Linked DNA regions of Caenorhabditis elegans. The protein of the gene in region 1 interacts with the protein of each later gene in a pairwise test. Each region holds a gene or a part of one and is shown in the gene's direction. Other genes may lie near its edges.

Region 1 (6,719 bases):
TTGTAATGAGTATGGAGGTGAAAGCCGGCGTGGGGTATAATTATCGCACCCCTCTTACTTTTGACGGTAGCTTCTGTCACTTTTTTGTGTGGATTTTGATTCATTGCGCAATATATGCCATTTGCTTCGGATGAAGTAGTCTTGCGGTTGTGGCAAAACCAATGAGAAGCTAGTTGGGTGTTGGTAAATGCTATCGAGTTCCAGACGCTTTTCTGGAATTACTTTCCTTTCAAAAAATAGAACGACCGATTTTTCTGTTTTTTTTTTTGCTTTATATTTTAAAATTTGCCTCAAAATCACAAGTGTATAATTTATTTGTAATTCCAAGCTCCATGTTTCCATTTCCAATTACCTCATTTATCAACATTTCCCTGATTCATTTCAGTTAAGCCTTTCACATCACTGCCCTAATCTCTTGACACCTTTCTTTGTTTCTCTGCAATGGGAAATTGAATTTGAAATGCGGTTTGGTCAATTTGCAATGCACAATTTGCCGGAACACCTGCTCCTGAGAGCCCAAATGTCATTGACATGCGGGAAGGATTAGGAGATCTTTTTCGAAATTTTTGAATTTCGATTTGCACTGACCAACATTTTGTTTGCATTGACCAAAGCTGCAACTTTCCAACTTTCTAGTTAGACTAGAACAACTCCGAATTTTTCGAATTTTACCCCCTTGTCACCGATTCTCAGTCCCAATGTCACCTTGTCTTAGGTGTACTACCTTTCATTACTAACTTCCGAATACATTTTCTTCGCCTCCTTTTCCCCATTCTTCTTTTTTTTCTACTCAACCTTCCGAGACACGACTACCTATGTGTTGTCGTCGATTTGGCGGGTCACTTGAACTTTTGCGTTTGGCCATGGAAAGATTGGCGAGGCAGGAGGGGGGACAAAAGGAGGCCTGTTTTGCATATTACCTTGAGAAACGTCGGGTACGACAAGCATAGCATTTTTTGGGTAGTTTTTTCTGAGAGTGATTGTAGGGCTTTTTTGGAAGTCCTTTGAAACCAGTATATATATATATATTTTAGTCAGCTTTAGGTTTTTTTTTTTTTTTTTCGGGCCAAGGCAGATGGTGAAGTTAAGGCTAAAATATATGTCAGGGCCAAAAAGTGGAGACCCAGAAAGTTGAGCCTTCAAAAACTAAGCCATTTAGGCTAACTTTTACTTTCTTTATTTAGGCATTTAGGCGGTTGAGCCCTTGAAAGCCGCATCTCCATTTTTTCCGCTCCTTGAGGTTAGGCTTATTTTAAAATCCTTGAGGTCAGGCTTATCATCCTTCAAAGTTTGAGACCAAGAAGGTTAAGCCCCGTAGTTGAAGGATAATTCTGAGCCCACGAACGCCAAGCCCCAAAGAAGCCCAAAGTAATGGCTGGGCACCTGAAGTCTAAGCCTTTAGGCTGCGCTCTTAGCTTAATGCCCTTCTTCAAAAACTGAGTCCCTCGGTACAGACTAAGCTTTTAGGTTACCCTTTAGCTTTTAGGCAAGCTCGGGCCTAATTTCAGGCTTAGCTTCAGACTCAAAATTACGAGATTTCCCTCAACGTAATTCGAAAAAAATTGATTAGACTAGGTATCTCGCGCCGTGCGTATTGTTGTAAACTCTTCATTTTTCGCTCATCAATATCTCCGAAAACCCCGGGACCCCGAGGTCTATCCTAGATAGCAAGATACGCAGACGCACACATGTGTATACATATGCTATTGGGCGAGAAATAGCGTCTCTTCTTTTTCTTCTTCTCTTGGGAGCTACTTTTCGAGGTCCGAGCTGCTGCAGCTCGAGCTGGGTGCTCGAGCTGACCGCGGACCCCACTTCTCGTGACCGCCTATCTTGTTTTTTTCTGTGTTGCTGTTCTCGGATAAATTTGGGATTGGAATGTTTCTTTGGGGTCTAGCCTGTTTCAACGGAAATAAGTGAAAAATTGTTTGCTGATTTTCTTAATTTTTTCACTATTTGCTGATGCTATTTTTGTAAATTCGGTAGCTGAAAATTTCTGGTACCTGGTAACCGTGAACTATACCATATGGAAAAGTTTGAAAATTGGAGGTTTTAGGCCATTTTCGGCTATTAAACTTTTTCCGATTTTTCGAATAATCTAGCACGTTTTAGCGAAATGTTTTTTTTTTGATTAAGCTTGATTTTTTCTATTAATTTCTCAATTTTGCAATAATTTTCTCCACCTTTTTTCAACCTCCCATAGCACTCCAAATACTCTGCTCTTCCACAAAAAATTTACCCCCCCCTCCTGAGCCCCCACAATTATACCTATGCTTCCTTCCGCCTCCCGGTGCCATGAGCACCAACCACAAATTGCTCTCCATTTTTGCTCCACGACACGCCCAACCGTCAACAGCTTAGATTACTGTTTTTGTTCCTATTTACGAACTAAAGTTTTCAATTTTTTTCTCCTTCTCGTTTGTTCGGATCTTTTTTGTGCTGCTCATTGCTGTTAACGTTTTGAGTTTTTTTTCAGACTTCAACTCGAAAAAGTTCCAATTAGTGTTCATAAAAAGAAGGAATCGAGATTGGATTGGATGGTAACAACCTTTTGAAGAAGCGGCGAACAATGAACGACAGTTGCAGTTGGGACCAGCTATGGGTAAGTTTTTATTGAATCCTTGGTAAAAACTAAAATTTAAAATAAGAAAACAGGCTACTAAAATGAAAAAACCGCGGGTCTAAAAAAATGGCCAAAATCACCAAATGTTGAGCTGAATTTTTTACGATTCTAAACCGTGAATCCTCCTTTTTTCCTAGTTCAACATTTCAAAAAATCTACTGATTAAAAGTATGTACATATGTGCCTAAAATTGTAATGTTATGCACTTCACACTGTGAAAAGGTTAGAAGGTTTCCACCAAAATGAGAAAAATGGCACGAAACTTCAGATTTTCAAAATTGGGCGCTGCTTCAAATTGCTGAACTTTTAAAAAATATGTCAAAGTTCCAAGATACCAGGATTATGCCTAATTTGGAAAAAATTGGAAATATAAAATTTTTCCAAATTCTGTTACAGCTCTAAAGCACCCACGCCACGAATTTCCAGAACCTAGAATTTTTCGAGACCGCCGCAGTTTCAAAACTCCAAAATTTGACGAAATTCCGGGCCCAACCACTTTAAGGATTATTTTCTGGGAATATGCAAAAATAGGGATTTCAATTGATATCATGGCAAGACGTCCGCAGGGTTTTGCGCCGCACTATATTTTATTTGCAATTGCCTGGGTGGGGCGCGAAACCCGTTAGATGTCGGACCATAATATCATTTGTATCGATATTGGGGTACTGATACTGGCATGATCACAGATGGGCGGTCCCGATACTTTTTGAAATTCGGTAAAATTCCGAAATTTCTAAAGTTCGGATGAATTTGAAATTTGGCGTTTGCCAACTTCTAGTGCAATTTTATAGTTTCGATGTGGAAAATCCTTGGATTTTTCTCAAATTTTTAATAAAATCTAATGATCCCCCCCCTCCCCCCCACCAAACATTTCTACTCGTTCCTACATACATTTTCGCATATCACATATACCTTCTCGTCTCCCGCATACATAATTTAGTAGTTGTAAGCAAGATCGGGGGGTGGCGGGCGATCACAAAGTAACGGCGGAAGCGGCTCACCCACCCTCCGAACACACTTGAATTAGTCATTTGTTGCTAATGTAGAGGTGGATACTAATAAGGAGTGGCGGGAGGTGTATAGAGAGAGTGAAAGAGAGAGAGAGAGAGAGAGAGAGAGACGCAGAATTAAAAAACAGGGTTACCTAGTGGGTTTGCTGGGCGCACGTTAGTATGTTTTGGTAAATGCGCTCTAATTTTAAAATTCAAAAATGGAGTGGAAATTTCTATAATATATTTTAAAAACATTTTTTTTTATTAAATTGGTCCGTTCACACTGATTATGCCTACTTTTTTAAGACGTTGTATTTTTAAAAATTGATTTCAAAAAAATTAATTTTCTACTCTCTCTCAAAAACTTCTCTTAAAAACTACAAAATCCGATTTTTTTTTCGCCAAAGTTTCTTATCAGTTTACAGAAAAATTGTGAACATTTCAGAAATGCCAGTATGACACATCTTTTTGAACATATCAGTTTGTGCTTGAATTTGATTCAGAAAAACAGCAAAATTTTTTTTCTTTCAAATTTTCCCAATACTTCAGCCAGTTTTTTGTCGTTTATAACAGTAATCTACCGCAGAGATACAAGCTTATAGAACTTAAAGCCGAGAGAGTGTGGGACGAGGGGAGAGTGCAGACTGTCTTCAATTTCTAGTGCTCAAAATTTGAGAGCATGTAACTTGAGAAATGAATTCTGAAAATTGGATTTTCTATCGATTTACTCTTTAAATTTTCAATTAGGGCTCCCATGTGGGTGCCGCAAACGCCGCCCTCACGCCGGGATCCGAAATCTTAATAGCAATGCGCGAAACCCAAAAAATGTCGGATCGCGGCGCCTACATGGGAGCCCTGGTTTTAATATAATAATGGTTCCGAACAGTTTTATTAATAAAATTGCACAAACTTTCTGATCGTCGGTTCTCCGCTCTTTCCTTATCGTTCACTTCTCGCCAATTTAATAGGCAAAAGCGGTAGTTGGGGAAGGGCGGAAAGCGCAAATAAACACAGCTTCACTCTCTTTTTCTCCCTTTTTCGGCACCAAAATCGTACTTTCTGTGATTGTATTTGTGTTTAGCAGGGAATTATCAATAAGATTAGAAGGTTTTTTAAAAAGAAAATTTTTTGTGGGGTCCCTGTAACCTTGGATGTAATTTTATAACATGGTGCATCGACTGAAAACTACACTAGCAATTTTTAAGTTTACGGTTGAAACTTGTCACTTTTACATACATATTAAGGGTTATCAGTATATTATTCATTCAAAATTTGTGCTAGTAAAGTGAAATTTTTTCTCTGTTTGAAAAAATATGATAAAATGCCAAAAAGAACGTCATTTCCTATGACAAATTTTGTCCGATGCACCATGTTCAAAAAATTTCTTTGGCTCTCACATATTTTTCAGGTTTTACCGCCAAACTTATCGGACTTTTCCAGTCGATGCACCATGTTCGGATTTATTTTTCTAGACAAAATTATTGCTGCTCCTTCAAAAAATATCGATTTTTTTACCTGATGCACCATGTTCAAGTTTTCTGAGAAAAATTTCTGTAATAGTCGAAAAGTTACCGAGAACATTTCAAAACGAAAATGTCATTCTGCTTCCGTTCCCCATTCCCCCCTACTTCTTCAGCCTTACTGTCAATCCATTTCAATTCTACAACCATTTTTCTTCATCTCCCCTCATTTTCCCTTCCTCCTCCCCCTTCTAACTTCTTCTTCTTCTTCTAGTCGCGTCGTCAATCGGTGTTGGGGTCGACAATTCATTGTATATGTAGATCACATTGCATTCGGATTGCGCCCTTCCGTCCTGGCGATAGTTTCTAGGACGCCGCGCCTTGGACACTCACCGCACCTTTTTTCTGCAAAGTTTGAGTTTTTGCTTGGGGCACTTTAAGTCTGATTTACATGGAAATTAGACTATATGAGCTCTTAATTTAAGTTGCTCAAACTTTTTGAAAGTGTGCTGGTTTTGTATGTACATCTGGTTTCTTAGAGAATCGGAAACAATATACATATTTGCTTTTGAATTAATTATGGAGACAGTTTTTCTAGTTAATTTTCTTTGAAATTTTGAAAGTCGTCAATCTAGGTACCTAATGAGCTCAACCTCGTAGAATGGACAAACATTTGAAAATTCTTGCTCCAATTCTAGCTTTTTCCAAGTACCTTGATTTACATAGTTAGGCTCCACAAATTGACGCAATTCCTCAATTTTCAGTTTTAAACTAAAAGTTTCCCAACTTTGGATTTAGAACTCTGTACAAAAAAGTGAATTTCTTTAAAAATTTAAAGGCAGCTTATGTATAGTTAAAAATTCAGAACCAAAAAAAGTACATTTTATTTTCCTGGTATTTTTGAACAGTTTGTCTTGCCTCGCAAAAGCTTGATTGTAAAACTAAACAAAACTCAAAACCAATTCAAAATTCTCTAGAAGCGTCAGTGCCTACTTACAGCTGCTCCACGGTGCCCTGTGCTCCCAGCTGTTAAAAGTAACAGGGTACCGTCAAATGGAACGTATGCGCCTCCACCCTCTCTCGCTCCGATTCCGCGCCGCTCTCCTCCCGAACAACCACTCATTTATTATGAGTTTTTAATCCATTCCACGTCCTCTTTCCTCTCCGCACCGTTCTGATCTCTGCCTCTCTCCACTGGAGAAATATTATTGTGCGACAGCGGTGCGGTGCGGCGCGGCACAACTCTCCCGCACTTTTTGTTCCTTTCTCCATCTATATCTCTCTTTCGGCTGACCTGGGGTTCCTCGGGAAAACGACGACACATCATGCTTGACAATTCAATCCGATTGGGATATTGGATATTGGATATAGGGCTTGGAAAGTCATAGGTCAAATTTCTCTTTTTACATATGGATTGTGGCTTGAGAACCTCTCTGGCAGTCTAGCTCTAGTCTAGCCGTCTAGTCTAACTAGAAATCTAGAAAATTTCAAATGTAAACCTCTAATTGTTCCTCTTTAGTTTTGGACCTTCCACTTTGTAGGCTCATGTTTCAGTCCTTTTTTTTGTGAAATCTAACCTTTTTTTCAACTACAAAAAATTCATTTTTGATCTACTAGTTCTACTAGAATCTATACATTTTTTTA
Region 2 (6,171 bases), on another chromosome or scaffold:
TTCCCTGAAAATTTCTTCATCATGGCCGATGTTAAAAATTACCAGGAACGTTTTGACAACAAAAAATAAATTCGTGATTTCATGGGCGGTGAAGAGTTTTTTCACGAAAAATTAGACTTTCTCAAGTTTTCATAAAAGGTTTTTTTTTTTCGAAATCGAGAGAATCAATAAACTAGCTAAAAATTGACAACAGTGAGAAGAGAAGAGAAAATTTCAAAAATTGAGGTAATTTTTTAGGAAAAAATATTGAGGAAAATTGGGCAATGATTTAATGCTCTGAGCAATTGGAAAAAGTTGGTGAAAGTTGGTGGAGAAGTGAGCAAAGTTATTTGGAAAGTGGACGAAATCTAATGGCAGTTAGAAAATGGTTACAGTTGGTTGAAAAGAGGCCACGGGTTTACGAGCGTAGTTTTCCTCCGATTGTTATCAGTATTCCTCATAAAAATGTGTGAAAGGAAGTGAATAGAGCATTTTATGGTTTGAGATGGGCTCATGTGACTCATGGTTTACTACTATTTCTAGTGAAAAAATAGAGTGAAAAAATAACAATTTCTTTATTTTTTGGCCACTCGTTCACTAGAAAATAGAAAATAACGAAATAATCTCATTAAAACCTGTAAAATTGAAACTTTCACCCACAGCGCAAGATGTACAGAAACGCGAAGTTTAGCAAGCGCGCTCTAATAAATATTTGGATTAGAGGAGAGCGTGTCACTCTGTAATATAATAATCTTTTTTAAAAGAAAGAAGGCAAATTCACAATGTTCGATATATTTATTCCCAAAATAACAACATGATTTATTGAATTACTTAGGATGTGAATCCTCCTCCAGGAATAGTTTGTCGATCTGATCCAGCAATGAATCCACCAAATCCTGCTTTTTATCAGATGATGAAAACACCTGGTCCGATGTGCTTTCGAATCTATCCTTAACTTCGTTAAGCAATTCCGTCAAGTAACGAGTTTGATCGTCGATACTCACAACTCTCCCAGTGTTCTGGCAAAACCCAAAGTTAGCAACACAGGCGATAAGTACAAGAAGGTAGAAGATGAAATTCGCGTTGAATGATGTGTCCATTCTTACAGGGCTCTTTTTATATGGAACACTGACAAAAGAGGTATCCAATAAAAACATTTTATTCTGGATTTTCAGACATTCCTTTTGTAATAGTTGTTTTCAGTATACAACAATACTTCACAAATATCAGATATTAAATTTATCCAACAATTGTAATATACATATACAATAAAAAGCATGAATGAATTGTTGAAAACATTCTGAGTGAGTGAAATTGAAGATATGCAAGCTAATATGTAACTTATCTGACATGACCATGTGAAGTAGGCTATTAAAGGTAAAACATCAATGTTCAGAGGTATCGTTACAAGTATTTTTCAATTCAATTGTTGGATAAATTTAATATCTGATATTTATGAAGTATTGATGTATTCTGAAAACAGATAATACAAAAGGTATATCTGAAAATGCAGAATAAAATGTCTTTATTGGATACCTCTTTTGTCAGTGTTCCATATAAAAAGAGCCCTGTAAGAATGGAATAGTCACAATTCATTCAACACGAATTTCATCTTCTACCTTCTTGCCCTCATCGCTTGTGTTGCTAACTTGGGATGCTCATTGGAGGTTCCAGTTCCAGAAGTTCCAGATGTTGGAGCCGTTGAAAGTTTCTGTATTCTTAGTGGTTACAAAAATACAGTGACGGTTCCAGACTGAGCAAGTGCAAGTGGATGCTGTGTTGCAAGTGGTGACTGGGCTTTTGGCAACTGTTCTTCAACTTGTGACATCATTGACTTCCTCAGTTGGATCAGTTCCTGGAACCTGACAAAAGAGATATCCAATAAAAACATGTATTACAAACATATTTTTGTAACTAACTGGTGGATAAATTCGAAAATTGTTATTTTGATGTTTTTGAAGTATTGTTGTATTCTGAAAACAGATAATACAAAAGGTATCATATATCTGAAAATGCAGAATAACATGTTTTTATTGGATACCTCTTTTGTCAGTGTTCCATATAAAAAGAGCCCTGTAAGAATGGACACATCATTCAACACGAATTTCATCTTCTACCTTCTTGTACTTATCGCCTGTGTTGCAAACTTCGGGTTCTGCCAGAACACTCAGAATGCGGCCTCTAATATTATCGGACACGCAACAGGAGCTCATGGAGGCGCCACTGGCGCTGCTCGAGGTGCTGTGAAAAGTGTTGGAAATCGTTGGGATCCAGATGATTAGTAGCTTTTTGATGCACTCTGTCGTATTTTTTGGGAATAAATATATCGAACGTTGGGAATTCGTCTACTTTCTTTTATATAAATTATTATGTTACATAGTGACACGCTCTCCTCAAATCCGAATAACTATTAGAGCGCGCTTGCTAAACTTCGCGTTTCTGTGTGTAAAATTTTCAAAATTTCCAGGTTCTTGGTGGATTATTTTGCTGTTTTCTATCAAAATTATTTGTTGAGAAGGATCAGACGATTCGAAAATAAGTAAAATTTAACGATTTAAAATGAAGACATTTTTTACTCTACTTTTCACGAGAAACAATGTGGTAAACCATGAGTCACATGAGCCCATCTCATCGACGAAACCATAAAATGCTCTATTTACTTCCTTTCACACATTTTTATGGGGAATACTGATAACAGCTTCAATTTTTGAAATTTTCTCTTCTCACTGTTGTCAATTTCAAGCTAGTTTATTGATTTCTGTCGAAAAAGAGACAGATTTTAATGATTAATTTTGTTGTTTAGTAGCAAATTTTAAGTTATAATGAAACTTTTGGAAATTATAGGCATTTCGAGAAAAATACCTTGTATGAAAATTTGAGAAAGTCAAATTTTATGTGGAAAAACTCTTCATCGCCCATGAAAGTACGCATTGATTTATTTGTTACTATGCCTGTTATTTGTCACTATGTTCCTGGTCGTGTCGTATTTTCTTTACCTTGATTTCCTTGTTAACAAAAAGAAGTAATTAAAAAGTTTGCAGGGAAAAATCGAGCAGTTCAGCATCAATGGACCAGTAAGTTTTTTTTTTCATTTTATCGAACTGCAATTTCAAACAAATTATGACAATGAGATGGAAAAAAGACGAACTTTGTATTCTCCAATGAAAAGTATAACTTCAATTTCAGAATCGATCGTAAAGTTAAATGCATCGTCACGGACTCACGAGCACTGCGAATCTGTATCCTATTCCAACTTCTTCAAGAAATTCCAGTTCTCGATGCATACGAAGCAATGTGCAAGGCATTTGGTGAGCAGTTCATGGAATACCTCCATTTTGAATATTGGTATATGGGACTTTCAAATGGAAGTCTGAACTTGGACTCATATGATAGGTTCGTGTTTTTTCAATCAATGAAGTATGAGAGTAACTATTACAGATTTTATTCATCAGAGAGGAAAGAATGGAAATCTGTTACGAACTACCTTCAAACAATGATTCTGGATAAACTGAACCCAATTGATCGGTATAAATTGATTGCATAGTTTTGTTTTGTAAATACAAATTGTTTTCAGGTTTACTGCAGGTGCGGTTTGTTGTAGTTTTAAATCTATAATCGATTATCAACGTTCTAACTTGAAGAAATTTCATATTTTTCAAGAAGAAAATAACGTTTCTTTGTATATGAACGATAACCTTGTGACCTATGAATTGGACGATGATGACTGCCTTGTGACTTATGAAGAACGGGAGCTTCTTGTTAAGAACAAACGGCCATTGGAGGTTGCTATGAATGATGCATCAAGACTTTTGAAGTGCAGAGGATTAAATCTGGATTATTTCTACGTTAATGGAGTTAAGGACGAAGGGCTCATTTTATTTGATGCTCTTAAAAATGTACTTCAATCAGTTGGAGTCTTGACGACAAAATCAGTATTGATCAATTGGCTTCCTTCTGTTCAAATTGCTGAAATTCTAGAACACTTCAATACTGAAATTTTAGAGGACTTGACAATTAAAAGTAGCGAATCCGATGAAAATTCCATAAAACGTCTGGTGCGCCTTGAACAATGGAAACAAGCAAAGACTCTGACATTGTCTCCTGTTCCACATTATTCACTTATCGTCAAGCATCTTGCTCACTTCCAATCACTGAACTTTGACTTTTCTGAGGAAGCTTTCTCAGAAAATGATATCACCAGGCTTCGAGATGTGAGTTTACTATGATATGTGAATTTTATAGCATAAACTTTCAGGAGGTTGTTCTGGAATCAACCAAGTTTGAATATTTTACTTGCGAAAGAGTGCAATTTGATGCAACACATCTCCTTAGAGTTTTTGATTCACACTCCGCTCTAAATAGTTTGTCTGGATCAATTGTTTATAAATCTAGAAATGTAACATTCGACATTGCTTATCAACCGGATGGTTTCAGTATCAAGAAGAGAATCGACTAGCAACATCGAACTTGTGAATATTAGTATAATAATGTGTTAATCCTCTATGAAACTGTTTCACATATCTTAAATTATTTACTATATATGAAGCGCGCGTCGTTTTGTCAGTATATGTACAGTTTATGTACGTTTTCAATTGAATTGAATGCTTGCCAAATGTTGCAATTGGGTGAAGAACTGACGGAGCAAATGTGTCAAGCTGATACGTGAAGATTCTCCAGAGGCACATCAGTAGTAGGGGAAAACTATGAAACTGGCATTATATTCGGATTTATAGAGAGCGTGTCACTCTTTAGTATAATAATCTTTAAAAAATAAAACAGATGAATTCCCAATGTTCGATATATTTATTCCCAAAAAATACGACAGAGTGCATCAAAAAGCTACTAATCATCTGGATCCCAACGATTTCCAACACTTTTCACAGCACCTCGAGCAGCTCCAGTGGCGCCTCCATGAGCTCCTGCTGCGTGTCCAATAATATTAGAGGCCGCACCCTGGATGTTCTGGCAGAAGCCAAAGTTTGCAGCACAGGCGATAAGTACAAGAAGGTAGAAGATGAAATTCGTGTTGAATGATGTGTCCATTCTTACAGGGCTCTTTTTATATGGAACACTGACAAAAGAGGTATCCAATAAAAACATGTTATTCTGCATTTTCAGATATTTCTTTTGTATTCACTGTTTTCAAAATACAACAATACTTTAAAAACATCCAAAATATCAGATATTATTAAATTCATCCATAAATTGTGATTTGGAAAATACTTGTAACAATACCTCTAAACATTGATGCTTTAGCGTAACCAGTTGAAATAAGCATTCTGAGTTGACTAAAATGAAAGGGCTATATGATTACAGACAATTCATCTGACATGAATCTCTGAAGGATATATCAATCAAGACAGCCTGAAAGCAATTAGTCGAATGATTTTGTGACAAACTATGTAGCTTTATATTTTGTCTGTATGTATTGCTACGATTACTACTTTATGATGACTACAAGTTCAATACTATGAGTGTTAATGCTAGTGTTTTTGCCATTTACAATTGATCAATACATTTAATATCTGATGTTTTTAAAGTATTGTTGTATTTTGAAAACAGTGAATACAAAAGGAATATCTGAAAATGCAGAATAACATGTTTTTATTGGATACCTCTTTTGTCAGTGTTCCATATAAAAAGAGCCCTGTAAGAATGGAATAGTCACAATTCATTCAACACGAATTTCATCTTCTACCTTCTTGCCCTCATCGCTTGTGTTGCTAACTTGGGATGCTCATTGGAGGTTCCAGTTCCAGAAGTTCCAGATGTTGGAGCCGTTGAAAGTTTCTGTATTCTTAGTGGTTACAAAAATACAGTGACGGTTCCAGACTGAGCAAGTGCAAGTGGATGCTGTGTTGCAAGTGGTGACTGGGCTTTTGGCAACTGTTCTTCAACTTGTGACATCATTGACTTCCTCAGTTGGATCAGTTCCTGGAACCTGACAAAAGAGATATCCAATAAAAACATGTATTACAAACATATTTTTGTAACTAACTGGTGGATAAATTCGAAAATTGTTATTTTGATGTTTTTGAAGTATTGTTGTATTCTGAAAACAGATAATACAAAAGGTATCATATATCTGAAAATGCAGAATAACATGTTTTTATTGGATACCTCTTTTGTCAGTGTTCCATATAAAAAGAGCCCTGTAAGAATGGACACATCATTCAACACGAATTTCATCTT
Region 3 (9,811 bases), on another chromosome or scaffold:
ACTTTTTAATGGAAAAATACGTAATTTCCATTTTTTTAAAGTGATCTTTTTTATAATTTCCGCTAAAAAACTGATATTAACATTTTTTGGTTGAAAATTACAGACTTTGTTATTTTTATCCGAAAAATCTGAAAATATTCATGATTTCTGATTAAAAACGGGATTTTTTTTGGTTTTTCGTGAAATTTTTCACATTTTTTAATTTTCAAATGAATTTTTGTTTTTTTTTTTGTTAAAATTTTCACAAAAAACTCTGAAAAAAGATTTTAGCTTCAAAATTCAACAAAAAAACTTGGTTGAGGCGGTGTCAGTTTGTAGTTTATAGCCTCTCAGCCTCAACCAATATTTTGGTTGCGGCTCACACACTACAAACTACACATTTTGGGTGAAAAAAAAATGAAGGTATTCGCATAAAAATGGGCAATTTTTGAGGAAAAAACTGAGAAAATCGTTGAAAAATCAATATAAATTGCAATTAAAATGAATTTTGTCAATCAAAAACTGAATAAAAATTTAAATATGCACCGAGAAAATCAATGAAATGAGCGTATGAATAAGGCCACTGGGAAATCGAGTTAGTGTCAGAAATAGTACACAGTAAAAAAATGTAATTTACAATATAACAATCAAAAAAAATTTTAAAAATTCATGAATCCGGGTCCAAAATCTCTGTTTTCACATTAATCTTCGGCGGAAACTCGTCACAATTCGGAGTTTTCTGCAACAAAAAAAAATTAATTTTTTGTCAAATTTTCAGTGAAAATTCGATTTTTTTGCTACCTTCCAGTGTCTCCGGAGACTATCTGGGCTCTGATAGCAATATCCACATTTTTGACATTTATAGGCGTCCGGATTGCGGTGTACAACGATATGATGCTTGAGACGTCGTTCCGATGTGTACTTTTTCGGGCATTCCGGGCAATTGTGCTTCTGAAAATTCGAAATTGTTGGGCGAAATCCATGAAATTGTAGTTTTTAGTCATTTTTATAAGAAAAATCGGGAGAAAATCGGTTTTTTCGGCCGAAAATAGTTTTGGGTGAGGCTCAGGGACTACAAACTACAATTTTCTTAGCCTCAACCAGTTTTGCGTTAGTTTTTGGTGTTTTAGGATTGAAAAAGTGAGTTATAAGCTTAATACATTGCAGTTTTTAGTCATTTTCATATAAAAAAATTGCAGAAAAATCAGTTTTTTGGTCGAAAATGTTTTGGGTGAGGCTAACAGACTACAAACTACAATTTTTCTAGCCTCAACCAATTTTTTTCGTAAAAATTGAAGGTTATTATCGTAAAAAGTTAATAAATATCATGAAATAGCCGTTTTTACTCATTTTTATACAAAAAATTGGGGAAAACCGTTTTTTTTTTGGTCGAAAATGTTTTGGGTGAGGCTAACAGACTACAAACTACAATTTTTTTAGCCTCAACGAATTTTTTAATACGATTTTCAACTGAAAATTAGGTTTTTTAATAGTATAAATTAATTTTTAAGCGAAAATTGAATAAAATCCTATTTAAAATGATTGCGGTTTGTAGTTTGTAGTCTGTGAGCCTCAACCAAACGAATTTTCGTCCTATTGGCTGAAATTTGATGATTTTTCATGTTTTCAGGGCAAAAATTGTTAGAATCGGGGTTTTTTATCAGTACCATTTCACTTTGGCCATCCTCATCATCTTCGTGATCCTCTATTTCTTCCGGATGCTCAGATTTTGGAGAAATTACTCGATTTTCCACGATTTCTTGTGAAAATTCTGGATTTCTAGGATGAAAATGTGATAAATTCGAATAATGAGCTTGTTGCACAGATTGCGGGGGCGAATATTGATTTTTCGGTGAACAATTTTGAGGCACATTTTGCGAATTATTGTCGTAGACCAGCTCATATTCGTCGGTTTTCTGCTCCGCAAACATATTTCTCATTGTAGTGAGCACTTTTGGTCCATCTTCGTCTGATGTGTAGTTTGAGGAACAGGAAATATCCTGAAAAATTGGAAAAAAAAAGTGATTTTGCAGAAATTTTCGGGGAAAAACCTCTATTCCACTTTGTAAATTGAAGTCATCGCCGAAAAGCATGTAGTTTGGACAGGAAAAATCCTGTTTTCTTTCTGTCATCTGAAAAAAAAGCAAATTTAAATTTAAATTATTCAAAAAACAACTATTATCGTTGAAAATTGCTGCTAAAAATTAAATTAAATTAAATTAAATTAACCTACCGTAGCCATTAAAGGCGCATGCTGTGTTCCCTCGAATGGGTTTCTACACGAAATTGGAAAACGTCGGATTTCGGCAGGAATTCTGGAATTTAAAATCACTTTTCTCCAAAAATTAAATATATCGATTCATTTTCTTCACATTACAAACAAAAAAACACGTTCAAGTATCTGAAAATCACACAGAAAGCCGCCGTCAATAAAATTCGGTGGCCGCGTGGCCGTGGACTAGGTTTCGTGTAAAGGAACGGCCATCGACATTTTTTCGATTTAATTCTATTTTAGAATATTTTCAGCGCATTTTTAAAGCTTTTAAATAGAAAATCTAGCTGAAAATTTCGAATTTTTGTTAAAAAATGCTAGTTTCCACCTTTTTCCTCCCAAAAAAAACCAATAAGATCGATATTTCCTGCAGAAAATCACAAAACGAGGGAAATGGAAGATTGGACCAACTATCATCAGGCACAGCCGGCGGAAAGTGGTATGGCGTTGTGATTTTATTGAAAAATTGAATTTAAAATCGAAAAATTTGGCAAAAAAACACGAAAAAATCGATTTTTTTCGAGATTTTCGCGAAATTTTTTTAAATTTATTTAAAAATTAATTTTCGTCTATTTTCCAGTCGACTGGGCCCAGCTGGCCCAACAATGGATGGCGATGCGCGACACAGACGATCGTCGAGCCGGAAATTCACACGATTTCGCTCAAAATCATCAGCTCCCGTGGCATCAGCCACGTCATCCGGGCCCTCCGGCTCATCAGGATTGGGGCGATTGGTCCGCGAATCGGGACGAGCAGTGGAGAGGGCCGCCTGGGCCTTCTGGGCCGTCCGGGCCCCCCGTATATCATAATCAAGGCCCGCCTCGTGGATATCCACCACCACCGCCACAGGGAGCAGACACGTGGCGTGGAGCTCCTCCACCAGCTCACCACGGACACTTTGGACCGCCTGGACATCATTTCCAAGGCCCACCACAACATTTTCCGCCAGGGCCACCAAGGCCGCACTTTCCAGGCCCCCCAGGCCCACATAGACCTCCAGAGCACTACCCAGGGCCTCCAAGACCTCAGGCTCCAGCGGCACCACCACCGAAAAGCCTATTCCCGTCGGCCCAAAAGCCTAAGCCACTTTTTGCGGCGGCTTCAAGTGCTCCAAGCTTCTTCGGAGCACCTCAACGTCCACCACCGCAGCTGCACTTTTTCCAGGAGAGCCCCTCGGTCCAGCACGATTTTCAGCAGCCCGATTTCCAGCCCGATTTCCAGCCCGAAAACTACCAAAATTCCCCGGAACCCCCGGCCCAAGCTGGCCCGAAAGGTGTGCCTCCACCGGCTCCACTAATGGCTTCAGGGCCCACAAACCCGTATGCAATGAACAAAGAGGCCCGGAAAAAACTGCCGGCCTGGATCCTGGAAGGCCTTGAAAAGGCCGAACGGGAGAAGCAAAAGCAGTGGGAAAAAGAGGAAAAGCTGAAGAAAGCGGAAGAAGAAAAAGCCCGGCGAAGAGCCGAAGCTGGAAAGAGCAAATTTGACTCTTCGTCGGATGAAGAGAGCCCGGAAAATGAGAAATTTCCTGTTGGTAATGGAAAATCTGAATATCAGGAAGATGATAATGATTCGGAAGACGATTTGGAGGAGAGACGAGAGCAATTTGTACGGGAAATTCTAAATTCCTGAAATTTCCGCAAAAAAAAACCTAAAAACTACAAAAAATTTGAGAAAAAACGAAGATATTCTAAATTTTTAGAGGAAATTTTTCAAAATTTGAGAAAAAAAACCAATTTTTTGAAAAAAAAAATCCAGCTTTGTAGTTTATAGTCTCTCAGCCTCAACCAATATTTTTGGTTGAGGCTCACACACTACAAACTACAAAAAATTTTGAGAAAAAACCAAAAATTTGTCGAAGATTTTCTGAATTTTTAGAGAAAATTGCTAAAAAAATCGAGAAAAAACCGACGAAATTTGATCAATTTTTGTTGGTTCAGGCTCATGCTCAGACACTACAAACTACAATTTTCGGGTAGCCTCACCAAAATTATATTTTGAACAAAAAAATCAATTTTACAATGAAATTTTTGTATTTCGAGGAAAAATCGTTTCTTTTTTTACTTTTATTTCAAAAAAATGTTGAAAATTTGAAAATTTTAGCCGGCTAGACTACAAACTACAGAAATTTTTTTTTTTAAATTGTATTTTCCCAAGATTTTCTGAATTTTCCAGTGTAACTCCTAAATCCTAAAAATAATTCCTATAAAACACCGAGTTTTTGATAAAATTTCAAAAAATCTATTGGTTGAGGCTATGACAATTTGTAGTTTGTAGCCTCTCAGCCTCAACCAATATTTTGGTTGAGACTCACACACTACAAACTACAATTTTCGGGTAGCCTCACCAAAATTAAATTTTGAAAAAAAAATAAATTTTTCAATACAACTTTTGAATTTCGGCAAAAAAATCGTTTTTTTTTTCATTTTTAATTCAAAAAAGTTTAAAATTTTAGACATTTTAGTAGACATTGGCGTTTTTGATGCCAGCTAGACTACAAACTACATGAATTTAAAAAAAAAAAACAATTTTCCCTAGGTTTTCTCAATTTTTCAGCGTAAACCATAAAAATTCCAATAAAAAACCCAGTTTTTGATAAAATTTACAAAAAAAACATTGTTGAGGCTATATGACAATTTGTAGTTTGTAGTCTCAACCAATTCAAAAATTGGTCGAGGCTCAGACTACAAACTACAATTTTTAAGACAGCCTCACAGAAATTTAAATTTTCAAAAATTCAATTTTTTCAAGATTTTTTAAAAAATTTTCTAAAAAGTTTTGAAATTCGGGTAAAAAAAATTTTTTTGTTTCAAAAATTTTATAATTTTGATGCCCGCTAGACTACAAACTACAAAAATTTCGAAAACAAACCTTAAAATCTTCCCAAGATTTTCAGAATTTTTCAGTCAAAACCTTTAAAAATGCAATAAAAACCGAATTTTTGATAAAATTTCAAAAAATCTATTGGTTGAGGCTCGCGTTTTTGGAGGCTGTTAGACTACAAACTACAGAACTTTTGAAAAAAAAAAATTGAATTAAAAATTAAAAAAGGTCCATTAAGTGGAGAAAAACCTCTTAAAAATTTCAAAAAAAAAATTTTCGAAATTTTTTTTCCAGATACGCTGTGTGAAAACTCTAATGATGAACGTGCTCCTCGAGTCTTCGAATGACGTCATCATGCGTATAATACAAGAAGAGCTCCGTGAGCACGAAAAACTTCAATTTGAACGGAAAAAATTGGCAACTGCGCCGAAAATCATCGGCAACAGCTCAGCGTTGGCGGCTCTCGCGGCTTTTGGTATGGAGAAGCTCGCGAAAATTCGAAATTCGGAAAAAACAATTTTTTTGACCAGAAAATTCGGTTTTAAAAGTTTTTTCCAAGTTTTTAATTTAAAAAAAACCGAAAACTTTAACATTTTTGAAATTTTCTTCCAAAAAGCTATGAAAATCGTATAATTTTTCATAAAAAATTCATAAATTGTTCCAATTTTTCGACGAAATTTTTTTAAACAAAAAAAATTCGATTTTATCGAGTTTTTTGAGCTAAAATTTCAAAAAGTTTTTTAAAAATTGATTTAAAAAATTCGAAAAACGAAAATTTTCAACATTGTCTTCAAAAGTTTCACATTTTTTAAAAACTTTTTTCTAAAATTTTCGAATTTTCCATATTTTTTTTAAATTTAAAACAGTTACAATTTTGAAACAAATCGAATTTTCTGGTTGAAAAATTTGAGATTTTCCGAAAAAAAAAGTAAAATTTTTGATTTTTAAATCGAATTTTTCAAAAAAAAATAGCGAAAATTTAGATTTCCAGAAAATTTTAATTTTATATAAAAATTGTGTTCAAAAAGTTCCTGAAAAGCTCTTCTTTTTCCTAAAAATTCAAATTTTTCAGAAAAAGTTTTCAAAAAAACATTTTTTTTTTTTGGAAAAAATCGGTTTTCAGAAGCTTTTTTAATTAAATATTCGTTATAAAAAACGATTTTCGAACAATGTACCAAAAAAGAATTTTTAGTTTAAAAATTTCAATTTTTTCGATTAAAAATTCCATAAAATGTGAATTTTCAATTTCTCGAAAATTGTAAAACTAAAATTCAAATAAAAAAAGCCTTTTTTTGCAAAAAAAAAGTTGAGTTTTCAGTTAAAAAAAAAAACGTTTTTTAGAGCTAAAATGTCATATTTTTTGAAATTTTATTTCAAAAAATTCAAATTTTTCAAATTTTCCAGGAGACGGTGAGGATAGTGACAACAGCAGTGACGATGGAGTTGGCGACGACATGGAGCCACGGCAGGAGAGCAGTGGCTCGGCGGAGCTAAATGGAGCATCAGGGGCAGCAGAAGCAGGAACACCAGAAGCTGGTGGTGGAGAGTTCAAGGCTCCCGTGGGTATCCCTCGAAAGTTTAGTGTTAAGACAGATGATGTCAAACCATCAGTTAATGATGATGGTGAAGGTGTTGATGATTTACACGTTCCAGGTAAGGTAAACTAATGAAAAATATAAAAATATATTCACTTTTTGTTGAAAAAAATACCATTTTTGCTAATTTTTTCCCCGATTTTAGCGTCAAAAATGTGTTTTTCTGTAGTTTGTAGTCTATTAAAGCGCGAATTTTCAGCCAAAAAACTTCAAAAACCTACTGGAAATCCACTTTTTTGAATTAAAAATTCAAAAATTTCAGGAAAATCTGCAAAAAAAAAATGTTTTTTCAATATTTGTGTGAGGCTATGTTATTTTGTAGTTTGTAGTCTCAGCCTCAACCAATTTTTGAAATAATTGAGGCGCGCTGGAGACTACAAACTACAAGTTTTCTTCACAATTTTCACTTTTTTCCGCCAAATTTGAACTGAAATTTTTTGGGATTTTGGGACATTTGGGATTTTGGATTTTTGGGACAGAATGGTTTTGTAGTTTGTAGTCTCGGAGCGCCAATTTTCAGCCAAAAAAAATAATATTTTATTCCAAAAAACCCACTGGAATTCCACTTTTTTTGGATTAAAAATTCAGAAATTTTCGGAAAATCTGAAAAATTTTGAAAATTCAGTTAAAACCGCTTCTAGAACTCGAAAAATCTATTTTTTAAATCCAAAAAAAAATCTGAACATTCCTGAACATTTGGTGAGGCTTTGCTCATTTTGTAGTTTGTAGTCTGTGAGCCTCAACCAATTTTTGAAATAGTTGAGGCCGGAGACTACAAACTACAAGTTTTCTTCACTTTAGCAGAGATTTTTCGGGAAAATCTCACTTTTTATCTAAAAAATTTCAAAAATTCTTTTCTTTTTTCAATAAAATCTCTGAAAATCCAAATAAAAATCCAAAAAATTTTTTTTTTCTAATTTTGTAGTTTGTAGTCTGTGAGCCTCAACCAATTTTTGAATTGGTTGAGGCTACAAACTACACATATTTCCCAGCCTCAACCTAGATTTCTTCATATTTTACTCATTTTTTAAAGAATACAAATGAAAAGTGTGAATTTTTGAAATTTTCACTCGCAAACGTGTAGTTTGTAGTCAAAATATTGGGATTTTACTATTTTGGGTTAGGCTAAGCTGATTTTGTAGTTTGTAGTCTTCGGCTAAATATTTAGAAATTTCCTTTCAAAAAGTCTGTAGTTTGTAGTTTGAACCTTGATTGAGGCTGATGTGATTTTGTAGTTTGTAGTCATTCTCTAGACTACATAGAACTACACAATCTACACACAAAATTCCGGAAATAATATTCAAATTTTCAGATTCAAAAAACGGCGATAATAAAAAATCGGAAAAATCGTCGTCGGAAAAGAAGAGAGAACGAGAGATGAGAGACGATGAGAAGGAGAGAAAATCGAGTAAAAAGAGCAAAAAACGATCGAAAAGTCGTGAAAAAGAGCAATCTTCATCACGACATAATCACCGATCGAGAAGCCGATCTTCGGAACGGGATCGCCGTCGAAAACGGTCGAGAAGTTCGGAACGTCGGAGGGATCGGGGGGACAGGGATCGGCATAGTCGACGTTGATTTTTATTGATTTTAACGATAAATTATTGATTTTTCCGATTTTTACCGCCGATTTTTTCCACCAATTTCTTGCTCCAAATTCTCATTGTTCAAAGCCGCCCGTTTTTCTGGAAAACTCCCAAAAAATTATTTTTTTGTATTACCTATGATGACATTTTCCCATTGATTTTTTTTTGCTTAATGTATTTTGAAGTTTTGTTTTTTCGTTTTTGGTTTCAGCATATTTCAGAATCGCACAATAAATTCTAATTTCGCGCCTGAATTTTTGGAAAAATAACTAAAATTTGAATTTCCCGCTAAAATATTAAAAATAATTTGAAGTTCGCGCCAAATTTTTTGTTTTGAAAATTCGAATTTCCCGCTGAAATATTTAAAATTTTTGGAAAAATTACTAAAATTTGAATTCGCGCCTAAATTTTTGAAAAAAATACACATAATTTAAATTTCGCACCAATTTTTTTTTTCGAAAATTCAAATTTTTCGCAAAAATCATGGAATTTAACATTTTAATTATTCCGCCAAAATGTTTAATTTCCCTCAAAATTTGAATTCCGCGCTGAAATTTTTGAAAAATTCTATTTAAAATTAGCGCCAAGATTTTGTAAAATTTAAATTTCTCGCTAATAAATTTAAAACACATTGAAAAATTGAAGTTTGAATTTTCCTCAACAGATTGACTAGAATTATCAGTTTTGAACGCCTCTCACGAGACAAAAATCAATGGCCGAGTTTTCCCGAATTTTCTAGGCCATGCAGCAAAGGTCGGTCATGAATTCCTTACACTCAGAATATTATAGAAAAAATACGATCGCACAAAAATAAACAACGACGCAACGACACTCCGCTGTTTTTAAGCCCCGCCCACGATTTCATTTGCACTGAAATGTGGCGGTCGCAGTGCAAATGAAATCGTGGGCGGGGCTTAAAAACAGCGGAGTGTCGTTGCGTCGTTGTTTATTTTTGTGCGATCGTATTTTTTCTGTAATAGAATTATTAACCTTCGATCTATTTATTTCATTTAGCCATAAAAACTATGTGTTATAGTTCTTCTAACTGATATGAATTTGTGCAGAGTATTGGCATGTTTTATCAATTTGTGACTGTTCGAAATTGTTTCAATGTTTTGCTTTTTTAATTTTTTAAACGGCCTGAAATTCGGCCTGGAACGGCCTGAAATTAGTTTTCAAATTTTTTTGTTCTTAAACTTTTTTTTTTTTGAAAAAAATAATATTGTATTTTTCACAATTCAATTCATAGAAAAATTGTTGTTTTTTTTCCAGAATGAACATAGGCAAATGTTCCATAATTTTCCTGCTCTTTTGCGTTTTCGGATCAATTTTGAGCCGAGCAATCCGGAAAAGACACCCAGAAGGGAAATTGGTTATTAGGGATTGTAAGAGATATCTTATCATGTACTCAAGGACAATTTGTAAGGAAAAATGCGAAAAATTCGATGGTAAGTGAGCCTGACTGCTATTTTCTGAAATTTTCCAACAAAAAAAAAGGAAAATACATACTATTTCACTAACTTTTCCCACACGTTTTTCATATTTCGATGTTTTAC
Region 4 (6,951 bases), on another chromosome or scaffold:
GGATTTCACTGGAAAATCCTTATGCAACGTATTGTATGACGTATGTTCTCGGAATCTATATGGGTGTAAACGGTCAACAAAGACCAACGCACTGAAGGATTATAGGTTCTCGTTGAACTCGATTTTTTGGTTTTTTGAGTACTATTTCCAGTACCAAAACGAAATTCCTTGGTGTGTTTGTCGCTGAAGAAAAATGAGAAGAAGATACCGTAATCGTTTTCCGCCATCTCTATCCGTTCCTTCGTCCTTGCCACTACTTTTTTCCCCATCTTGTGGCCAGTCTCAGACAGTCAGCCGATCCATTCTTTCCACGACGACGACGACTCCTTTTATAACAACCATTCGAGAATCAATCCAATTCGCGAAATTGGGGTTTTTGATCCGCCCGCCGCTGTCACCTACACAGGTTTTTCGCCTTACTTCGTTCAAATGAGCGAGAACTTGAGGGGGGAAATGAGAAATTCTCATTTTTTGGAATTTTTGTGCAAAAGTGTCGCATTTTTTCAACAAAATATCCCAGTTTTTCCAATTCTCGGGGATTTTCTACGGTCACAATACGGCATATTTATATGAAAATTACGCCCGGAGGTTTTCCTATGTCACGGCCAGAAATAGTCGAATCATTGATTATATTTTTCTGAGAACGGCAGGAAATTCTGGAAAAGAGTACATGATTTGAATTTCCTCATTAGGAAAATGCAAGATTCCTTGGAAGATTCAATTTTAATACTACGGCAGTGTCCATTTTTCCGTTGTTCTCGCTTTAAATCATATTCAAGTGGTGGCAGGTTGTCCCATCACGGTTTGATCTACAAAAAATTGCGAACTCTGCGGCTTTTCTCCCGCATTTTTTGTAGATCTACGTAGATCAAACCGAAATGAGACACTCTGATACCAGGTGCATATTTCGGTTTTGTTGTTCCTAAATCCTTAAAATACAGGATGTAGGGAGGCACGGTCGCCTTTTTCCAATTTTTTTTGGGAATTTTGTTAGATGCCGAGAAATGGTGTCGGTTTTTCGATTTTTGGAAAATAAAAACTATATAAAAAAAATCATATTTTGGTTAATTTTCTGAGCATTTTTAGTTTTTTATCGAAAATTTTCGATTTTTTATAATTCGAAAAATCGAAATTATTCGTTTTTCGACTTCAAATCTTAAGATTTTCCCTCAAAAAAAAAAAATTTTTTTTTTGTTAAAAAATCTTAAGTTTTTTTTTCAAAAATGTCGAAAAATTAAGTTTCTCCACATGATCGTACGATTCACAGGACCCTCGATGATGCAACTACTACTACTACTTCTGCAGCTACTGCTGCTGGCGGCTACTTGATCGATTTCCGACGTGTCTTCTTCTTCTTCATCGTGTCTCTCCATCCCTCGCTTCTCCTCTTCCCCGCGTCAATGTGTGTCTATATGACCGTCGGTTGGTCGGTGTCGCCCGACTGCCCCCCGACCGCCGCCGCCAATAGCATCAGCAGCAAAGACTTGTGCGTCGTTTTCCCTCAGTCTCTCTACTCGCGTTCGGTTTATCCGACACGCTGTCTCGTGCTCTCTTGGATTGTCGTGATCTCTCTCTTCGCCGCTCGCTCTCTCTCTCTTCAACAATAGTTTTTGGGTCGTCGTATACCTCCTCCTTCTCCGGGTCTCTAGTAGTCCGCAGATTGTCTTCGTTTTCTCCCCCCATTCCGTTCCCCATCGATTTACGAATTGATTGATTTTTTTTCGACTCGTTGCGGTCGGCTCGGCTTCTCTTGTTTGCTCGTTACTTTTGGACTCGTGGCGAACTTTTTAACGGGAAAATCTTCTCATTTAGTGGTAGATAGTCAGTTTTTTTAAGTCAATTTGAGCTGCGATGGAGTAAATTATCTGCAAAAAGTCACAGAATCCCAAGAATTTTCACTAAAATTTCAGAAATGTCGGTAATTTTTTTTCATTTTCAGAAAAAAAAAGCATGATTTTCTTTAATTTTTAAAAAGTGAAATTGTGTAAATTCAAAGTTTTCGCACAAATTCGAATATTTTTCACTGTTCAGTCCACTAAAAATTTGAAAAAAAAATTTATTTTTTCTATGAATTCCACACTTTTCGTGGTTTTAAGCGATAAAATTGCGAAATCTGCACGAATTTCGCTTTTTCGCAGTGAAATTCAATTAAAATGTGGCAGTTTACAGCAGAACGCTAAAGGTTTGAGCTTTATGTGAAAATTGAACACCTGTCGGGTCTCGCCACGAAAATTAACCTGATATCTGAAAATACATAGTTTGTTGAATTTTGTACTCGTTAATTGCGATTTTCCGAGAAAATTGGTTTTTTTTAATCGTAAACAGTCGCTGCGGGACCCAAAAGGGTCTAAAAATCTCGGATTTTTCCCCATTGATTTTATTCAAAATTCTCAGCTTTTCTCCTCTCCAACCCCCAAAAAATCCTTCAAAAACCATCAAATTTTCCAGTAAAAAAACACCGTTGCGATCGATTTTCGACTCAAATCAACCGACGAGCAGCAGCAGCAGCACCGTATTCAATTGCAGTTCGTTAGTTGCTTGAAAGCGCGAACATCTAAACCCCCACGGAACCCCCCTATACAATCCAAAAAAACCACACAAAAAATGGAAGGACAAAGTGAAGTTATTCAGAAGAAAAAAGCCAGGTAAGAGAGAGAGAGAGAAGAGACGCAGAGAAACACGGACTGATGAATCATTATGAATAGAATCGGGCCGTCGTCGTTGTTGTGTGTGGGTGTGTGTGTGATATGATGAATTACCAGTCACACAACTATGTATAAGGATGTATAACCGAACCGGTTTCTGCGGAACATTGGTCTTTTGCACTGAGAAAGTGAAAAAAAAGTCCAGAAAACTAGAAAAAACCATTGAAAACCAATTTTTCCACAAAAATTACAGAAAATTTAACTATTTTTCACATTTTCCTCTCAGACTGCAAAATGCGTGGAAAAATCTATTATTTTTGATAATTTGTCGTTAAAAATCGATATTTTTCATCTTTTTGTAAAAATATCACTGAATAAAATATCACTGAATGAAAAATGAATTAAAACACAATTTTTCCACAAAACTACAGAAAATTGGATTATTTTTCACATTTCCCACCGTTTTGAGCAATTTTTTCAATATCGAAACTCCAAATTGCTTGGAAAAATTGTTTTTTCCACGCATTTTGAAGTCTGAATACTGAAAAATGCTTGAAAACAGTGGGAAATGTGAAAAAATTCCAATTTTCTGTAGTTTTTGTTGAAAAATTGATGTTTAATGTTTTATTCAGTGATTTTTTTTACAAAAAGATGAAAATAAAATCGATTTTTTAACGAAAAACAATCAAAAATTGATGTTTTCCTTCATTTTTGATTTTTTATTCTGAAAAAGTTGCATATTTCACAGGAAAATTAGTAAAAATTGATTTTTCATCTGAAATTCAAAAATTTCTAGCGTTGAAAAATCGATTTTTATTGGTGAAAAACGTTAAAATTACCGAAATAATGTTCAAAACCGCTAGAAAATCATAAATTTCGGTTATTTTATATGATTTTTTGGAGAAAATCGCATGTTTCTGCTACAAAAATCCTCAAACTCGATATTTTAGAACGAAGACAGGCTGTGATGTTGGATGTCAGACGGAGCAAGGAAGTCCCAGTGTGTTTCAACAAATGAGCCAGCTGATGTCCTCGTCCACGTCACATGTAGGCACAGGCGCAGGTAATATAATTGCTGAAAAATTGGTAAAATTCGAGAAAAACCCGAATTTTTGGACGATTTTTGCTTTAAAAATTTATGAAAATTGAAGAAAATGCGACATTTTTCGCGTTTTGAAGCATTAAAAAAAATCAAAATTTCAGTCGACACAACATCGTCATCTGCATCTGCTTCCGGAGCATCCACGCCAGCCAATCAAGCCGCTTCCTCGTCGCCAGCACCATCGGGAGCCCCAGCAGTGAGTTTTGAGCGAAATTTGTTCAATTTTCTGTGTAAACCACGCGAAAATTGCGTAAAAATCAGATAAAAACACATCAAAATTGTTGATTTTTGGGCAAAATTCACTGAAATCAACGATTAAAACTATGGAAAATTTGACAATTATCAATTTTTCGATTTTTTCATGTTTTTTAGGCATTTCCCGGCGGTTTTTTCGAGAAAAAGGAATTCTGAAGTTAAAATTTTGAAAAAAAACGAGAATTTTTCCAGGCCGATAAGAAGCTAACCGGACCGGCAGGCGTGAAGCCCAACGAAATTGAAGCCTATTTTGGTGAGAAGAAGCCGCCGAGTCTGAATAGTTCGACGAACACGACGCAACCACAGCAGGCAGGCCAGACGACACAGAAGGCTCGTGCCGCGTCGACGACTGGCGTCGTTGGTGAAGGAAAGAAACAGGTTTGCTAGTTTTTTGTTTTTTTTTTTTTGCTGAAAACCAGGAAAATTTCTTATAAAATAAAATTTTGAAACGGTTTTGCGATTAAATTTCAAAAATTTAAAAAAAAAAGACTTTAAAAAGACAAAAAATCCCAGAAAATTAGATGAAAATCCATTTTTATTGAAAAAAAATTCAATTTTCGCCCCTTCCAGAATTCGAACGCAAACGCCTCCTCATCAAACGCCGCGGCCGGTGCGACAAACGGAAAAGCCGTCGATGGACCATCATGGAACGACGAGAACTGCAAACTTCGGCTCGTAATCAATCGATTCTCGCAGTTGGAGGAGACAATGTGCTCGCCGCCAAAATCGATCGAAGGTGTCTCGTGGAAGATAATGGTGATGCCGAAACAGCATATGGTTCAGAAGAAACAACAAAAATGCATGGGATTCTTCCTGCAATGCGCACCCGAAAGAGCCTATTCTGAGTATGTTGGAGAGCCCGGGAAATTCGAGAAAAAAACGCGAAAAATTGTATTTTAACTGAATCTGTGTCGAAAAAAGTGGAAAAATACTGCAAAACTGGGCGAAAATCGCATTTTTGGCCTGAAAATTGTCATGTTTCGATTTAAAATGCTCAAATTAATAGAAAAATCGAAAGTCGAAGTTTCCAACTTCGAATTCCCAATTTTAAGCTGAGTTTACCATTTTCACGACTGAAATTTTGCCAAAAATTACAAAAATTCACATTTAATGCTTCAAATTACCATTTTTAATACAAAAATTTGCTGTTTTCGCCATTTTTCTTGGCAAAAAACACAAAAAAAATTTAATTTTCGGTGAAATTTCTTGAAAAATGACATTTTCCGCTTCCAAATTACCATTTTTAATACAGAAATTTGCTGTTTTTCGCCATTTTCAGGGTCGAAATAATGCCAAAAATCCACATTTTCTGTGAAATTTCCCACCCAATTAGCATTTTTTGCCATTTTTTCCCAACAAAAACCCCGAAAATTCACACTTTTTCCAGCCAATGGAGCGTCCACGCGATAGCCGACATGCGAATGATCTCGTACAAGCCAAACGTGCCCCACTTTGCCCGACGAACGACACATACGTATACATCGAAGGAAAACGACTGGGGTTACTCGTGTTTTATGACTTGGGCGGTGAGTTTTGAGGCGAAATTGATCCATTTAATGTGAAAATTTGACTAAAAATTGAATTTCATAAGTTTCAGGCGAAAAATATGAAATTTCAGATTTTTTTCAATTAAAAATACCACAAAACCGATGATATATTTTATAAAAATGGTTTTTTTTTTTTTGAAATTCCGCCGAATTTATCTCATTTTAAAGGTGGTGTAGTCGAATTTTTTATTGATTTGTTTGATTCAAAATTGTCTGAAAACACCGAATTTCATAATGAAACTTCTTGAAAACTTCTCAAAAAAAAAGTTATGACGGCTCACAAAATTGCCTAAAATTAGTTAAAATTTGAAATTTGACTTGTCAAGCGGCTGGAAACAATTTTTTTTTTGAAATCACCGTCAAATTTTGAGTATACAATGTAATTATCTTGCGTTTTCAACTCTGATTTAGGTATTTTAAAGTCGATGGACGGCGAGATTTGGTTTTAAAAAATTAAAAATCTCGCCGTCCATCGACTTTAAAATACCTAAATCAGAGTTGAAAACGCAAGCTAATTACATTGTATACTCAAAATTTGACGGTGATTTAAAAAAAAATTAGTTTCCAGCCGCTTGACAAGTCAAATGTCAAATTTTAACTAATTTTAGGCCATTTTTTGAGCCGTCATGACTTTTTTTTGAAAAGTTTTCAAGAAGTTTCATTATGAAATTCGGTGTTTTCAGACGATTTTGAGTCTAATAAAGCAATTTTTAAAAAATTCGACTACACCACCGTTAAAACATCTGAAAAATGATGATATATTTAATTAAAATTGAATTTTTGAAATTCCGCCAAATTTATTTCATTTTAAGCCGCTGAAGTATCAAAAATTGAGTAATAATACTCAAGCTTTTGACTAAATTTCACTAAATGTTAATTTTTCAATCAAAATTACCAAAAAAAGGCGTTATTCTCTGAAATTTCAAGTTTTTTGTTAAAAAAAAACCTAACTCATAACATTTGCAGGATATCATCGACGAGGCACAAGGCTACATACGTGATGATACCGTAGTACTGGAGATTGCTGTGAAAGCAGAAGCACCGAAGAACATGATGACACACGAGGACTTTCTTGATAAGATCAACAAATGGATAGTTCTGGCCGATATGCAAATGAAAAAGAACAATATAGATCTCGCGTTGGAAGCCAATCAAAGTGCCATGAAGTTCTGTAAGGGAAAAGACGAGGAATGCTATCAACGTCTCGAAACTCAACGGGAGACATTTGTGAATGCGAAGCTTTTCGAGAGTATCGAGAGAATTGAGAAGGGTCCTGTAGTTTGTACGGATACGACTCACGGAAAACCAACGTCACTTCGACAGGCGCTAACTGGTGCTCAGAAATCGTTGAATGGGAAAATGACGGCGAAGGGTGGAAAGAAGGCGCGTGCAGTGGTCACTG

Evidence for each region.
Region 2: the proteins of toca-1 (region 1) and fbxa-156 interact in a two-hybrid assay, tested with the Caenorhabditis elegans proteins (one large-scale study listed by BioGRID).
Region 3: the proteins of toca-1 (region 1) and rsy-1 interact in a two-hybrid assay, tested with the Caenorhabditis elegans proteins (one large-scale study listed by BioGRID).
Region 4: the proteins of toca-1 (region 1) and pqn-87 interact in a two-hybrid assay, tested with the Caenorhabditis elegans proteins (one large-scale study listed by BioGRID).

Annotation. Positions count from the first base shown.
Region 1 is NC_003284.9:1,517,245-1,523,963, reverse strand, and holds the start of toca-1 (Transducer of Cdc42-dependent actin assembly protein 1 homolog), read left to right. Parts: upstream 1-2,476; 5' UTR 2,477-2,569; coding exon 2,570-2,602; intron 2,603-6,719. UniProt on the Caenorhabditis elegans protein: Plays a role in protein trafficking, actin organization and embryonic morphogenesis. Potentially acts as a cdc-42 effector. May play a role in hypodermal P-cell nuclear positioning.
Region 2 is NC_003283.11:17,893,636-17,899,806, reverse strand, and holds fbxa-156 (F-box domain-containing protein), read left to right. Parts: upstream 1-3,020; 5' UTR 3,021-3,045; coding exon 3,046-3,053; intron 3,054-3,165; coding exon 3,166-3,372; intron 3,373-3,417; coding exon 3,418-3,504; intron 3,505-3,553; coding exon 3,554-4,190; intron 4,191-4,234; coding exon 4,235-4,435; 3' UTR 4,436-4,577; downstream 4,578-6,171. Other genes in the region: C06H5.13 (FIP (Fungus-Induced Protein) Related), read left to right, coding at 2,061-2,261; C06H5.12 (FIP (Fungus-Induced Protein) Related), read right to left, coding at 4,822-5,022; C06H5.11 (Holin), read left to right, coding at 5,748-5,765, 5,811-5,924.
Region 3 is NC_003279.8:11,214,809-11,224,619, reverse strand, and holds rsy-1 (Arginine/serine-rich protein PNISR), read left to right. Parts: upstream 1-2,624; 5' UTR 2,625-2,644; coding exon 2,645-2,690; intron 2,691-2,831; coding exon 2,832-3,859; intron 3,860-5,368; coding exon 5,369-5,549; intron 5,550-6,478; coding exon 6,479-6,727; intron 6,728-7,981; coding exon 7,982-8,247; 3' UTR 8,248-8,443; downstream 8,444-9,811. Other genes in the region: Y53H1A.2 (C2H2-type domain-containing protein), read right to left, coding at 647-718, 781-930, 1,647-1,979, 2,031-2,111, 2,213-2,221; ins-36 (INSulin related), read left to right, coding at 9,529-9,703.
Region 4 is NC_003280.10:12,217,287-12,224,237, reverse strand, and holds the start of pqn-87 (MATH domain-containing protein), read left to right. Parts: upstream 1-2,604; coding exon 2,605-2,645; intron 2,646-3,595; coding exon 3,596-3,708; intron 3,709-3,848; coding exon 3,849-3,943; intron 3,944-4,194; coding exon 4,195-4,380; intron 4,381-4,572; coding exon 4,573-4,847; intron 4,848-5,389; coding exon 5,390-5,528; intron 5,529-6,515; coding exon 6,516-6,951.